Linked DNA regions of Schizosaccharomyces pombe. The protein of the gene in region 1 purifies or fractionates together with the protein of each later gene. This does not show direct contact. Each region holds a gene or a part of one and is shown in the gene's direction. Other genes may lie near its edges.

Region 1 (4,555 bases):
TACAAGATGGCCAGTGAGGGCGCGGACAGGAAGTATACCAAAAAGGGGACTTTAGATTCTCTCCAATGTTTTACGAGGAAGCTGCTTATAATAGACAAAAGAATTGAAAGAGCTAGCAAAAAAGGCCTAGGAAGAGACCTCGGGAGACTAAAATCTTTATAATTGTGAAGAATAAACCGTAAGGCAAAACATATCCTCAGTGATAAATTTAATATATTTGCAAGGATTAATCCATGAGAGCCTAAATTAAACCATGATAGAAGGAATTTTCCAGTAATAAAATAAAATACAGCGGAAGCCAAATAACACTTCCCTTGATCATACAACTGAGAAGAGTTGGCTGCTGAAACATAAAATGCTTCCAACACGCCGTTTGCAGCCATAAACGGAATATACATTGCGTACCAAGATAAAATGCTAGAGCTATCAGGAGAAGCCCACTTACTTCCTGCGCCAAACAAAAGAACAATGTCCGAGTAATTACTTCCAAAAAGGATAAACAAACTCATATAAGAATATAATTTTAAAATCCATGCCAACAAATTTAAAGCCTTTTTTTCATCTTTTTTGTTCTTATAATGCGTTAACTGAGCAAAAACAATGTGAGAATGGTCCTCTACTGGTCGAAACACGATTCTCGCCAATAAAGAACCATAATTGGAAGCTAGCGCATACGGACCTTGAGCAGAAGGAGAAGCATACCATGCTACCATTATCTTATCGCCCTTTGTGATTAGGTGTTTTAACAACACTTGATAAGTATGTGAACAGATTATTCGAAGAGTAGAACTATCCCAAAATATATACCTCTCGTTTTCTCCCACTTTGTGGAGAAATATGGAGAATGGCTGTTTAGCAAAATACCTTAAAGTAAAAAAAATGGTTACTTTTTCTGACAAGTTACCGAGGGCAAAAGGAAGACTTGACGGTGCCTTATTCCTTCCTAAAACAGAAATTGCAAAGGACAATAAAGAGCAAATAATTGTTCCAAGTCCTTCTGCTGAAGCAGTCTTGGAGAACTTCTGGCGCCATTGAAGAACTTCATAGTATGGTTCAGATAGCAACTCAATGAAACTAGAAACGGTGTAAATAAAAATACATGTTTTAGAATAAGGAAAATTAGGAAGTGAATAGAAGTAAAATAAAGAAACCAGAAGCGATATTACGATACCAATGTAAACACTGATCAAAGAAGTATTCTTGATCAATTGCAACTGATCACTTAATTTTTTTGATTTGTTTGACTCAGTAGAAGTAGAGGTAATTATTGCATTTTCCGAAGGAATTCTTTGCATAGCTAATCGAACCGACTCCCTGCTGAGGAAAAGGATCGTACTCTGTAATATCTCAAAATGAATAGAAGAAAATGCATAGGCGCTAGGACTAGTTAACCGAATGGTCAGTTGGTTTAAGAAGAAAGTCAATATTCTCGAACTTCCTTGAAAAAATATGGAGGAGCGCAGTCCCTTCGAGGACGACTGCAGCAAAGAATCAGATTTATCCATTAGCTAGTTGGTACTGATCTAGATTCAAAGAATTATACTACAAGTCAATAGTTGTTTACCTCTTTCTTCCATTAATGTCCCAACTTTTTTTATGTAATTCGTATTCTAACTTATAAATGAGATATTTACTTGGTGGATTTGGCGCATAAATGGGTGTCTCTTGAGCGCGCAGTTAACTTTTCAGGACACATTACTAACATAGAGCATTAAGGAATTCTACAATATACTTGAGTTAACGAAGTAGAGTTGCCATGTTTAACCCGCCGGCTATACAGCCATATTTGTATTAAAGATGCGTTAAAGTACAGTAAGCTTCTACTGCTTGTAATTCATATGCTGTTAATACCAGGTTACCTTAAACTTCCATAAGTATAATAATCACAAACCCATTTCACGACTGATTTTAAGGACGTAGGTACAATTAAAATTCGTTTTCCTATTTTATAATTTTGTGGTTAGATAATTAATAGTAAATCAGATACTCAAGAATATACAGATGATTATTACTGTATACTAAAATTTTTTTAGGCTGAAGAGTGTTTGATGTTTAGTGAAGCGTACCGTAAATTAAGCATTGCTGGCATGTAATAACTTGGACTACTTCTAGTTTAAGGCATCATTCTACTAAGTCTGAAAGTTTTTTGTTTGAAACTCATTAAGAACCTTTGTAGACAACTTTCTATTAAAAAAAATAGGTTCTTTATTTGTACTTAGCTTTACTTTTGCATCTGCTTTTTAGCTACAAGTTTGAACAATTTACTTGTGTTTTACACCAATACTGGGACTTATGCGATTAAGCTTTCTATTTTAATTCTGCTATTATTTTTTTTTGTCATAAACTTATTTTGATGACCTTGATGATTAAATTGTACTAGAAAAATGACAGAAGGAGTTACTGTACAAAAAGTTCAAAGCGCTAGCTCGAATGGGCACAAACCCAACACAGTAATTTCGCAAATAATCTCAGAGATGCAATCACTTTTGGGTAGCAGTTTCGAGGTGTATACTAAAACAATGACGGACTTCTTAATTGGACAGTTGAGCAGAAAGGAAATGAAGTCGATGCTGTTAACTTTCGCTGGAAAATCAAATTTTGGTAAGATATAAATTTTTATTTAATATTGTTCTGACACTTTAGATAAACTACACAATTCAATCATTTTTCATATTCTCAAATTGATGCAAAAAAATAATGATACCTTTAGTGCTCTACATCATTTACCTTGGTTTAAACGGAAGAAAGTCGATAATAGTTTATTTTTACATAAAAAAATTAGTTCGCAGAATGCACAGGTTCGATTAATCAAGCGAATAGTAATGTCTTTAAGTTATAAAGACCGGGCTAGGATCAAAACTGCTTTAAAAGTAGGCTTTATTATAAGTCTTTTTTATCACCTTTCTAACAAACATATCTAGGAAAAGCCAGTTACACCAAGTTTGATCTCAGGATTGCTGCTGGAAACGAGAATTGCAAAATTACCTAAAATTCCTGTATCCCGAGACAAGCTGAATTCAGGTAAGCCTATTCTTTAATAGGTTCTAAGGAAGTATTCAAAAGTGTAACCATTTAATTTTTATTAACGGAAATTTCCTTTTAACCACAATTTGGGTAATATTTTCACTAACCTCATTAGTATTTGTAAATGATATTAAAGCCGGCTATGTTGCACCTCTAGCATGTGAAACACTTGAACTTCCAGATTCAGAATCGTTAAAAGAACGAATTACAGCTATTTCTCTTGAAAATGGCTTATTGGGTGGTGTACAAAAGGGTGTGTCTGATATTATATTGGCTGGGTTAGAAAGCCATCTAAAGAACATTCTAAGCAGATGCTTTTCTATATTAAACAAAAATATTCGACAAAAAAATACTGAAAATGATGCGGCAGGTTTTACCATTAATGACCTTAATCTAGCATGGACTATTGAACCTCATGCTTTTGTCGAACAGTATCCACAGAAGTTAAGAATGCCGTTTTTGCTTCATGATAGTTATACTGAAGATGAAATTTCAATTTGTGCAGAATCGCCAAGCTACATGCTTGCAAGCAATGATGCGCAAAGTGATAGGAATTCTGTTGCTTCCCTTTTAGATGAAGTGCTTTCATAACCGCGGAGGTTCTTTTTTTTTTAATCTAATCGTCAGAAGTGCTTTATTTATTTACAATCTTAAAAGCTTCAAGGGCTATTCTTCAAGCGTTTCAGCTCGCAAATATACAAGACTTGATTATCCTTTTAAGTTAGATTTTTTTCACATATTTTTTTTTTTTAATTTATAGTAATGAATTTAATATATAACAGGTTGCGAAATATGTAAGATGAAGCAATATAGATATTCTAAAATACGTAATTATCCAGCAAGATTTACCGACAGAATACTATTATTGTTCAAGATTTGCTAAAATATAGTATTAGTAAAAACTGTTTAAATACGATCATCAGTATCCATATCGATGCCAGCATAAGGCGTCCGGAAATCCTGTTGTCTATTACTGAAACTTTCACTTTCGCCAACAGCTTCGTCAACAGAAATGCGCTCATCGTCCATCTTCTTTAAAGATGTTTCTTTCATTGTAACGTCCTCATGAGTAGTTTTCTCATTTTTACCGTCCTCCGAATAAGATCTACTAGTAGCCATCTCTAAGGTGGCATTGTCCATAGCTTTGCGGTCGTCAGGATCTTCCCAAAATCTGCGGTTACCCTTAAAGAGGCGACGTACCCATTGAGGCAATAAACCCCCCTCGACACGCCATGTCCAAGCTTCTTTTTGATTATAGTCAGCCGGTACAAGTCTACCGCGTGACATTTTGTCAATAGCATAAATAATGGAGTTTAGTAGAGCGTAGCAAATAATACCGGCAATCAAGCCATACGCAATCGAGTAGGTAAATGGCATCAAAGCAATTGTAATAAAAGCAGGAATGGAGTCACCAAGGTAACTCCAGTTAATCAATGTAGTACTCTTCATCATCATACTGCCGACAAGTACTAATGTAGAACCGGTAGCCCAGACTGGAATACTTGAAAAAATAGGAGCAAAGAAAAGAGAA
Region 2 (4,346 bases), on another chromosome or scaffold:
TTTAGTAGTAAAAACAGTTAATTTTTTAAAAAATACAGTACTTTTTTTATTGTTTACATTTATTTAGTAAACAAGTAGCTTTACGGTTACCACGGCAACTCCTAGCTGAGAGGTCAATTCTACCTCTTGCGCTGTAGAAATTCTTTTACCAAAACTAAAAATTTCCTGTAAAGGAATTGAAATATCAAAGTCTCGAAAAACGCGTTTTTAAAATAATTCGGGGCTTTGCATTCATTTTGAATTGTTAAACTCGTGATGTCAACCGGTCAGCTCAAACGCTTTAAAGGATGTGAGTATTTGACGCATCGGTTAGTCCTTGCAACTCTCTCGGGAACTCCGATTCGAGTTGAAGGAATTTACCCAGATGAAGCCGATCCTGGTGTCAAAGATTACCAGGTTTCGTTTTTAAGGCTGTTGGAGAAGTTGACCAATGGCAGTGTCATAGAAATTTCTTACACAGGTACTTCGTTCATATATCGCCCAGGAAATATTATAGGAGGTCGTGTAGTCCATGATTGTCCAACTACCAAAGGGATAGGCTATTTTTTGGAACCAATTCTAATACTTTGTCTTTTTGCAAAAACCCCTACTTCACTTACTCTTACTGGAGTTACTTCCAGTAATGAAGATATTGGTGTCGATGTTTTGCGCACTAGTGTATTACCCTCTCTTCAAAAGCGTTTTCAAGTTGGTGATGAACTTGAGTTGCGCATATTAAAGCGTGGTTCTGCTCCTGGCGGAGGAGGTGAAGTGAATTTTTTATGTCCTGTAATTAAAGAGTCTTTACCTCCCATTCGTCTCTCAGAATTTGGAAGAGTCTTCCGAATCAGAGGAATTGCTTCTTCAACTAGAGTATCTCCCGCTTTTGCAAATCGCTTAGTAGAATCTGCTCGCGGAGTTTTAAATCCTTTTATACCCGATGTTTTCATTTATACAGACGTTCGCCGTGGAGATGAATGTGGTAACAGTCCTGGGTATTCTATCACTTTAGTTGCAGAAACTAATAAGGGTTGCTCTTATGCTGCCGAGCATTGTGGTGAAGCTGGAGAAACACCAGAAGATGTTGGTTCCTTTTGCGCAAAGAAATTATTGGAAGTTATTGAATCTGGTGGTTGTGTAGATCCATATACACAACCTTCAACTTTAACCGGGATGCTACTATCCTCTGAAGACGTTAACACAATAGTTGTGGGTCAACTTGGTATTACTTCGCAATTAGTTGTTTTTCTTCGGGATGTGAAGGCACTTTTCAATTGCGAATATAGATTTAAAGAGCTCGAATCAGGCCAGGTGGAGATGTCATGCTTAGGAAAAGGATATTTAAATGTCAATCGCCGCATTCAATAGAAAACCATTTATCAGTGGGTCCTTTGCTCGTTTATTCTTCTTAAACATCATAACATTACATTTAACATATTGTTCGGGTACTTAAAATGAACGAACGTCTTTTTGATATATATTTACTCTTTAATCGTACTAAGAAGTTCATTACCCATTAACTTCCCATTGCAATTACGACATGAGTATAAAAAAAAAGCACCATACATATTTAGAGATTTAAATACGTTTTTGTGACTCAGTTGTTTTAACGGTCTTGTTATGTTCATTTTCAATTATGGTTTGAATTTTTTTGGTTTCCTTTAAATTACTTGGTTCTGTTTCTACTTCATTCTGCTTTAATATTTCTTTCCCGATGCCTCTTTTTCAGAAAATTAGTTCTTAGATGCTCTTCTCATTTGAAAATCTCAACCTTTTTCCATGTCCTTTTGTAAAAAAAAAACACTGCCAATTTTTAGTAAATTTGTATCATCATTGATTTTGTATGAATGATCCTGTTCGTTTTATTATTTACTAAATGAGAGTTTTTACTTTACGCTGCTTATACTAAAATTTTATGTAACTTCTAAATTATTAACATTGGTGATACTAAAAGCAACTTTGATAGGAATTGCTTTAATGAAATCATTCCTTCTGCATAAATTAAAGTTTGCTTAGATAAATTTTTATGACTCGAAATATTTAGTAATGTATATGTAAAATAGCATTGTTGTAAACTTTCTGAAACAAGCTATTTAGTGGTGTGCAGTGGACTCACGCTAACTTCTGAGTGGATACAATTTGCAACGCTCGCAACGACCATAAATCTTTTTGGGTGGTAAAACAGAAAAATAACGGGAGTCGTATTTGTCTTCGCATATACTTATAGTATTTAATAAATCATGAGTTCTCCAGGAATAAGTGATGAATCTATAAAAGGACCTAAGGACGTTCGTCTGATTCATCTAATACTTAGCTCTCTGGGTGTTCCATCATACTCTCAAACAGTGCCTTTGCAGTTGTTAACATTTGCACATAGATATACACAGCAGTTAATCCAGGATTCACAGGTTTATGCGGAACATTCACGTGGGCAAAATGCTCCAATTTCTGTAGAAGATGTACGTTTAGCTGTTGCTTCTCAAATCAATCACTCCTTCACTGGACCTCCACCAAAAGAATTTTTACTAGAGCTTGCTATGGAGAGAAATCGAAAACCTTTACCCCAAATTCAGCCGTCTTATGGGTTTCGTCTTCCACCGGAGAAGTACTGTTTAACTCAACCCAACTGGATTGTCAGTAATGAAACCCAACAGAATCAACCAAAGGAAGAGAACTCCTCGGATTCACGAATGGAGGAGGATAAACTTGACTTCTCTGTGAAGTCTGAATAAATTTATTTTCCTTTTAAAGTTGTTACTAATGCCGGGGAAGTGCTGATGATTTAGATATATGTAAATATTTTTGAAGCGCTCACGAATCTTTGCAGCAGATGATTATGGTTTTATTTATATGATTTTGTTCCTCCAGAACTTCCTATTTAACTTGCGAAAGCAGGGCGTGGGTAATAAATCGTTTACAGTTATAAGGTACCTGTTTATTTGTTTATTTGCTACGAAATCAGTGTATGGAGCAAAAAAGTATACAACATTTTTAAATTCAGCTCATATTGTACATTACTGTACACTGTATCTTTTATATATGGTACGACATAGAATAGAAAAAAGTGAAAGAGACGGCAACAACATCAGTGACGGCGCGCTTTTTCTTAAAATGTTACAAAAACTGGAGTAATTCATGTAAGGCTGTGAAATTGGCATGAGCTCGTCGAGAGCTTTCTTCAACTACTAGGCTCATTTAAAATTTACACCGCACCAATGTTTCTTTATTACTTACAATTGCCTCTCATCATAACTTTGAAAATACAATTTACCACAATACTAGTGATAACATAATATCATGCATTTTAATTTTCTTTATATGACCTATACAGATCCCCTAAAAAGAATATAGTAGGGATACTCGCACGACAGCTAAAAATATATAAGTTATATAATAATTTTGAATCAGAAGGAAGGCAACGGAAATATCCACACATTTTTTGCGCTCTCGGACATATATTTCATCCGCGTTATTTTCATCATTTTCAAAATCATTTATCTCTCACATACTTCAACCATTTCAAAGCTCACCACAAACCTGTATAGGAAATATAAAGAAACTTGATGCTTTACGTAAACACAATTCAGAACTTACAAAAACACAAAAGTGAAAACTTGGTATTTAAGTCGAAAGTCATACCATTCGTAAAAAGAGTGAAATTATAATGTGTAATAAACACAAGGTAAAACATTATGTTCATTAAACAAAATCAGGAGTTTGATTGTACAATTAGCAACCATATGAGAATAGCCGAATGAAAAGTTTCAAAACAATAAGTATCCATTAACAGAAGTATGACCCATTAACTAGTTTTGAAACTAAAGAATTTTACGAAGGTCAACAACATAATGCAAAATTAAAGCCAATTTCTCTGAATGGATTTAAATCATCATAATCATAAGCTTTTAATAAATTGTAAAAATTTAAAAAACCACGTCGGCATTTTTTTGATACCTTACATCATACCGGGCATTCCACCCATGCCACCCATTCCGGGAGGACCAGCAGGGGCCTTGGACTCTTCAGGAGCATCGACGATGGCACATTCGGTGGTACCCATTAATGAGGCGACTCCACTAGCATCAACTAAACCGGTACGTACGACCTTTAGGGGATCCAAAACACCAATTTCATTTAAATCAACAAAACGATCCTTAGCAATATCATAACCGATGTTAAATTCCTTGCCATAAAGCTCCTTAAGTTTACCAACAATCAAGTTACCCTCTAATCCAGCATTTTCAAGAATGGTTTGAGCGGGACGAGTGATAGCTTTGCGAACAATTTCGACGCCAAGCTTTTGATCAAAGTTATTTGTAGGAATGTCTCCTAAGCGAAGACTAGCCTTAACAAAAGAGGTACCAGCA
Region 3 (4,325 bases), on another chromosome or scaffold:
CTTATCCAAATCATTTCTGGTTTCATTCTGTTAACATCTACCCGCATCATCCGTGATAACATTTTTTTGTGCTATTATCCACTCTATTTTTTTTTACCCTAAAATCAACCTTTGCATTGTCCCTTCTTTCTTTTCATACTTAATATTTAACCTTTATAAAAAAAATGACTACAGGTTATGAATCTGTTCCCACTTCCGAACCCTCTGATAATCTTGCACCACGAGCAGAGCTATGGCAACGCCATTTACTGGAAAAAAAAGAAGGTGATCAATCCATCTCCGTTTCGGCTTTTAATATTTCTTCAATGCATAATGAATTGTCTGGTTTAAGCGAAAAAAGTCGTCAACGTGTCGAAGCTGTATGGGCTGCTTTTTCAGAGGCTTCTTGCAGCGAACGTAAACTCGCTTTGCAAGGCATTTTAAACAACTGTTCGTCCTCTCTTCTCTCTTTTGCCTCCAGCACATTAGATTCTCTAGTACGCTTAGATTTTCTCTCTTTGCTCCCTGTTGAAATTTCGTTTCGCATTTTATCTTTTTTGGATGCTAGAAGCCTTTGCCAAGCTGCACAAGTCAGTAAACATTGGAAAGAACTTGCTGATGATGATGTTATATGGCATCGGATGTGTGAACAACATATTAATCGAAAATGTGAAAAATGCGGCTGGGGACTTCCGTTACTCGAAAGAAATACCTTATACGCAGCAAAGGCTTCCATACAAAAACGTTATGAACGACTTACAAAAAGAGGCGTCGATCAGGCTCATGAATCTTCACCCGTCAAAAAAGCAAAGCTGGACGATTATCCGACGTCGAGTAATGAAGAGACTATTTCTTCTGTCAAACCACCTTCTCCGAACTCCGATTCCAAATTCTTTCTTCCCTTTAAAACCAGACCATGGAAAGAAGTATATGCTGAACGTTGTAGAGTTGAATGCAACTGGCGGCATGGTCGTTGTCGCCAGGTTGTTCTCAGTGGCCACTCTGACGGTGTTATGTGTCTACAACTTGTAAGGAACATTCTTGCTAGCGGCAGTTATGATGCCACTATACGATTATGGAATCTTGCTACCTTTCAACAAGTTGCTCTATTAGAAGGTCATAGCAGTGGTGTTACGTGCCTTCAATTCGATCAGTGTAAACTTATCAGCGGTTCAATGGACAAAACTATTCGTATATGGAACTACAGAACCTCTGAATGCATTTCTATTTTACATGGTCATACGGATAGTGTTTTATGCTTAACGTTTGACTCTACGCTACTTGTTTCTGGAAGCGCAGATTGTACAGTTAAGCTGTGGCACTTTTCTGGCGGTAAGCGTATCACTTTACGCGGTCACACAGGACCTGTCAATTCTGTCCGCATAATTAGAGATCGTGGACTTGTTCTTTCCGGTTCCGACGATTCCACCATCAAGATTTGGTCTTTGGAAACAAACACGTGTCTTCATACTTTCAGTGCTCATATTGGCCCTGTCCAGAGTTTAGCTCTTGCTGATTCGCGATTGTTTTCTTGCTCATTGGACGGCACAATAAAGCAATGGGACATCGAGAAGAAAAAATGTGTTCATACATTGTTTGGACACATTGAAGGTGTATGGGAAATTGCGGCAGATCACCTTCGTTTAATCTCGGGAGCTCATGATGGTGTTGTTAAAGTTTGGGAGGCTTGTGAATGTGTTCACACGTTGAAGAATCACTCGGAGCCTGTAACCTCGGTTGCTCTTGGAGACTGTGAGGTAGTCAGTGGGTCTGAAGATGGGAAAATATATTTGTGGCTTTTCAATAATGCTCCAAATGAATCTCCAGTATCTACACAATCTGTTCCGATATCTTCCCTTAATGGTCAAAGGTCAAATTCAAGTGTGCAACGAGCTCTTTCTTCAGTACCCAACTACTCATCCTCGTTATCCAATATCTCAACCAGAAATTTAAATATCCCACCCTCTAATGCCAATAATGACGATGTGTCGATTCAATCGTAGTTACCCCAACATCGCATCGCCTTTTTGTTTGTGTCTATTTCTTTTTTTCTTCGGCATTTCGCTTGTATATCCTTCATTTTTCATCATTCGAAGCTATGTCTTTATTTATTGCTCGGGTTGCCAAAATGCCATATCTAAATTTGGCTCTTTTTTGGTAACAAACACTTTGTCTATAATCAAAAACTACTTCTAATATCCTTGCCTGTATTGTATTATTTAAATCATTTGAGATTGATGGCATCCCGGCATACAGTTTAGCCTTTTGCTTAATTTACTAGCGAATTATTTTATGACTTTTAACATTTTATGTATTTAATGAATACAATTTATCCTTAGTCGAGCTGAAGAATGTATGATTTGATGAATTGTAAAAGGGAGAAACTTAGGTACTATGTTGTAGGCGTTGTTTTTTCCAATTGCGCAAGTGGATTACTGATATTTTATTTCATGAGCGTGTGTATTTTGCATTGCTCTTGGAGTCAGAGAAGTATGAAATTAGCAAATTATATCAACACTCACTATTAGCAAATAAAGTCAGCTCCTACGCAAGCTAAAGATGTAACACCAAGTATTTGAGCCTAATAATTTTTATAATAAAGACATCAATTTGAAGCACTTCCGTTCTGTAAATCTCAATTTCCCATACGGATCAGTTGCATCTTTTTCCTCATTGTTTGAAATTTTGGAATCACCGGCTTTGTAACAATACTAACTTGCTTGGAATACTCAACTTTTGATTCCCAAAGAATGGTTTAAAGATGCAGCCTGCTTCTCTTGCCGGTATTGTAAGTACCTGATTTCTCTATGTGTAATTGTTTTTCCTTTCAAAATTAAACTTCCTCGCCAAAAAAAGATTTGCTTGTTTATGAAAGCATGTATCATTTAATCGATCGCGGTTTATTTAACATGTCAAATTGTAGTACTTTAAAGACAAAAGGAAGATTAATAGAAAAACAATTGTCAATAGGTGGCTGAATTTAACACTTGTACAACTTTTTCACTAACTTCAAATTTCAATCAGTCTTGCACTATATTTGAGAATTTGTTGAAAGACTACACCCATGAATTGACCCAAACAGTCCACAAGAATGCTAAATTATCTCTTCAAAAATGTCCGGCCTGTAACAAGCATTGTCGGCAGTATTGTACCAAGCCAGGCTACGATATATATGGTAATAGCGTCCAAACTCCTTCAAATGTCCCTTATTATTCTTGTTTAATGTGCAAGCGTGAAATAGCTGCGTCTCGATATGCTGCACATTTAGAGAAATGTAAAGGCAGGTCACTTTCAAACGCTACCTCGTACTCAACTCTTTTCGAAGATGACAATGCAGACGAAGAGGACTAGTTTTATTTGTTGCTTGTTTTAAGGTTTATTCTCATTATGCACATGTATGTCTTTCCCAGTAAGACGAACTACAATATTATTTTGCTAACTTGTGTAGCTAGTTATTAAACTCATATATAGTAGACTCTCACTTCAATAAAAAGACGAGGAATTGTAAACAAGAATTACCAATAAATATTATTAAAGGATAAAGATATTATTTAAACTATTTGGTTAATAATAATGCCCATATTAAGGTAACGAAGGTGAGAAGTAAATTTTTAATTGAGGAAAATATCTTTCAAAGTTGGTAAGACAAGGATAACAAGAATGAAGAAGTAAGTTGACAATAAATTTTGGTTTAACATATTTGTCATTATGTTCAGCAAATTTTAGGTAACGAGTGAATAATAGAAAAAAAATATCGTTTAATATTAAAAAAAGAAAAAGAAAGAAATTAGTTTATGTTTTAGCATTGACAACTTTCAATCGGTTTAATTTATTTTCTTTGCCATTTGAGATACCAGCTCTTTCATGATACCACTTAAGAAAAACAGAAGCAGCCATAGTTTGAGGTGCCAAATGACGGTTTAAAAGCTTCCCCTTCATATTTAAAGTACAAACTAAAATAGAGTTTGAAAGTTCATCTACTCGAAGACATTGTTCTATCGAAACGGCCTTCATTTCGATTTTTTTAACATACCTCGTCCAAACAACCAATCCATCGTCGCAAAAGACGCAGGCATTAAAATCATAAATAAATGAAGTAGCTGGAATAACTGACCCTTTAAATTTTATATGCCTTGGAATGTCCACCGCAACACCCTGGTTTCCACACAGTGCACTAAGTACTTGATAACTTTCCTCGCGGGCTTTTTCTTGGTCTATATAAGAACATAACTCTCGAAAATCGTCAAGTGTTTTGACCGCCATCCGAAAATCTCCATTCAAAAATGGATATTTCCGTAACATTTTACAAACACGTGCTAAATGTATAGGATATCTCAACAAGTGTT

What was found. Proteins that work in one complex are often made in the same cells at the same time.
Region 2: the proteins of hfi1 (region 1) and taf9 purify together in Schizosaccharomyces pombe (affinity purification with mass spectrometry, with the first as the bait; 2 studies listed by BioGRID). This does not show direct contact.
Region 3: the proteins of hfi1 (region 1) and sgf11 purify together in Schizosaccharomyces pombe (affinity purification with mass spectrometry, with the first as the bait; 2 studies listed by BioGRID). This does not show direct contact.

Annotation. Positions count from the first base shown.
Region 1 is NC_003423.3:3,577,285-3,581,839, reverse strand, and holds hfi1 (SAGA complex subunit Hfi1/Ada1), read left to right. Parts: upstream 1-2,120; 5' UTR 2,121-2,384; coding exon 2,385-2,601; intron 2,602-2,643; coding exon 2,644-2,870; intron 2,871-2,921; coding exon 2,922-3,021; intron 3,022-3,139; coding exon 3,140-3,615; 3' UTR 3,616-3,807; downstream 3,808-4,555. Other genes in the region: Man5GlcNac2-PP-Dol translocation protein Rft1, read right to left, coding at 1-1,505; SPOM_SPBC887.17 (transmembrane transporter), read right to left, coding at 3,931-4,555. UniProt on the Schizosaccharomyces pombe protein: Component of the transcription coactivator SAGA complex. SAGA acts as a general cofactor required for essentially all RNA polymerase II transcription. At the promoters, SAGA is required for transcription pre-initiation complex (PIC) recruitment.
Region 2 is NC_003424.3:336,173-340,518, forward strand, and holds taf9 (SAGA complex/transcription factor TFIID complex subunit Taf9), read left to right. Parts: upstream 1-2,129; 5' UTR 2,130-2,219; coding exon 2,220-2,711; 3' UTR 2,712-3,591; downstream 3,592-4,346. Other genes in the region: rcl1 (rRNA processing protein), read left to right, coding at 256-1,347; protein Mcp60, read right to left, coding at 3,935-4,346. UniProt on the Schizosaccharomyces pombe protein: Functions as a component of both the DNA-binding general transcription initiation factor complex TFIID and the transcription coactivator SAGA complex.
Region 3 is NC_003424.3:1,370,723-1,375,047, reverse strand, and holds sgf11 (SAGA complex deubiquitinating submodule subunit Sgf11), read left to right. Parts: upstream 1-2,577; 5' UTR 2,578-2,740; coding exon 2,741-2,767; exon of another isoform or gene 2,768-3,003; coding exon 3,004-3,330; 3' UTR 3,331-3,374; exon of another isoform or gene 3,375-3,427; 3' UTR 3,428-3,570; downstream 3,571-4,325. Other genes in the region: F-box/WD repeat-containing protein Pof1, read left to right, coding at 165-1,982; mug10 (Rho guanine nucleotide exchange factor), read right to left, coding at 3,772-4,325.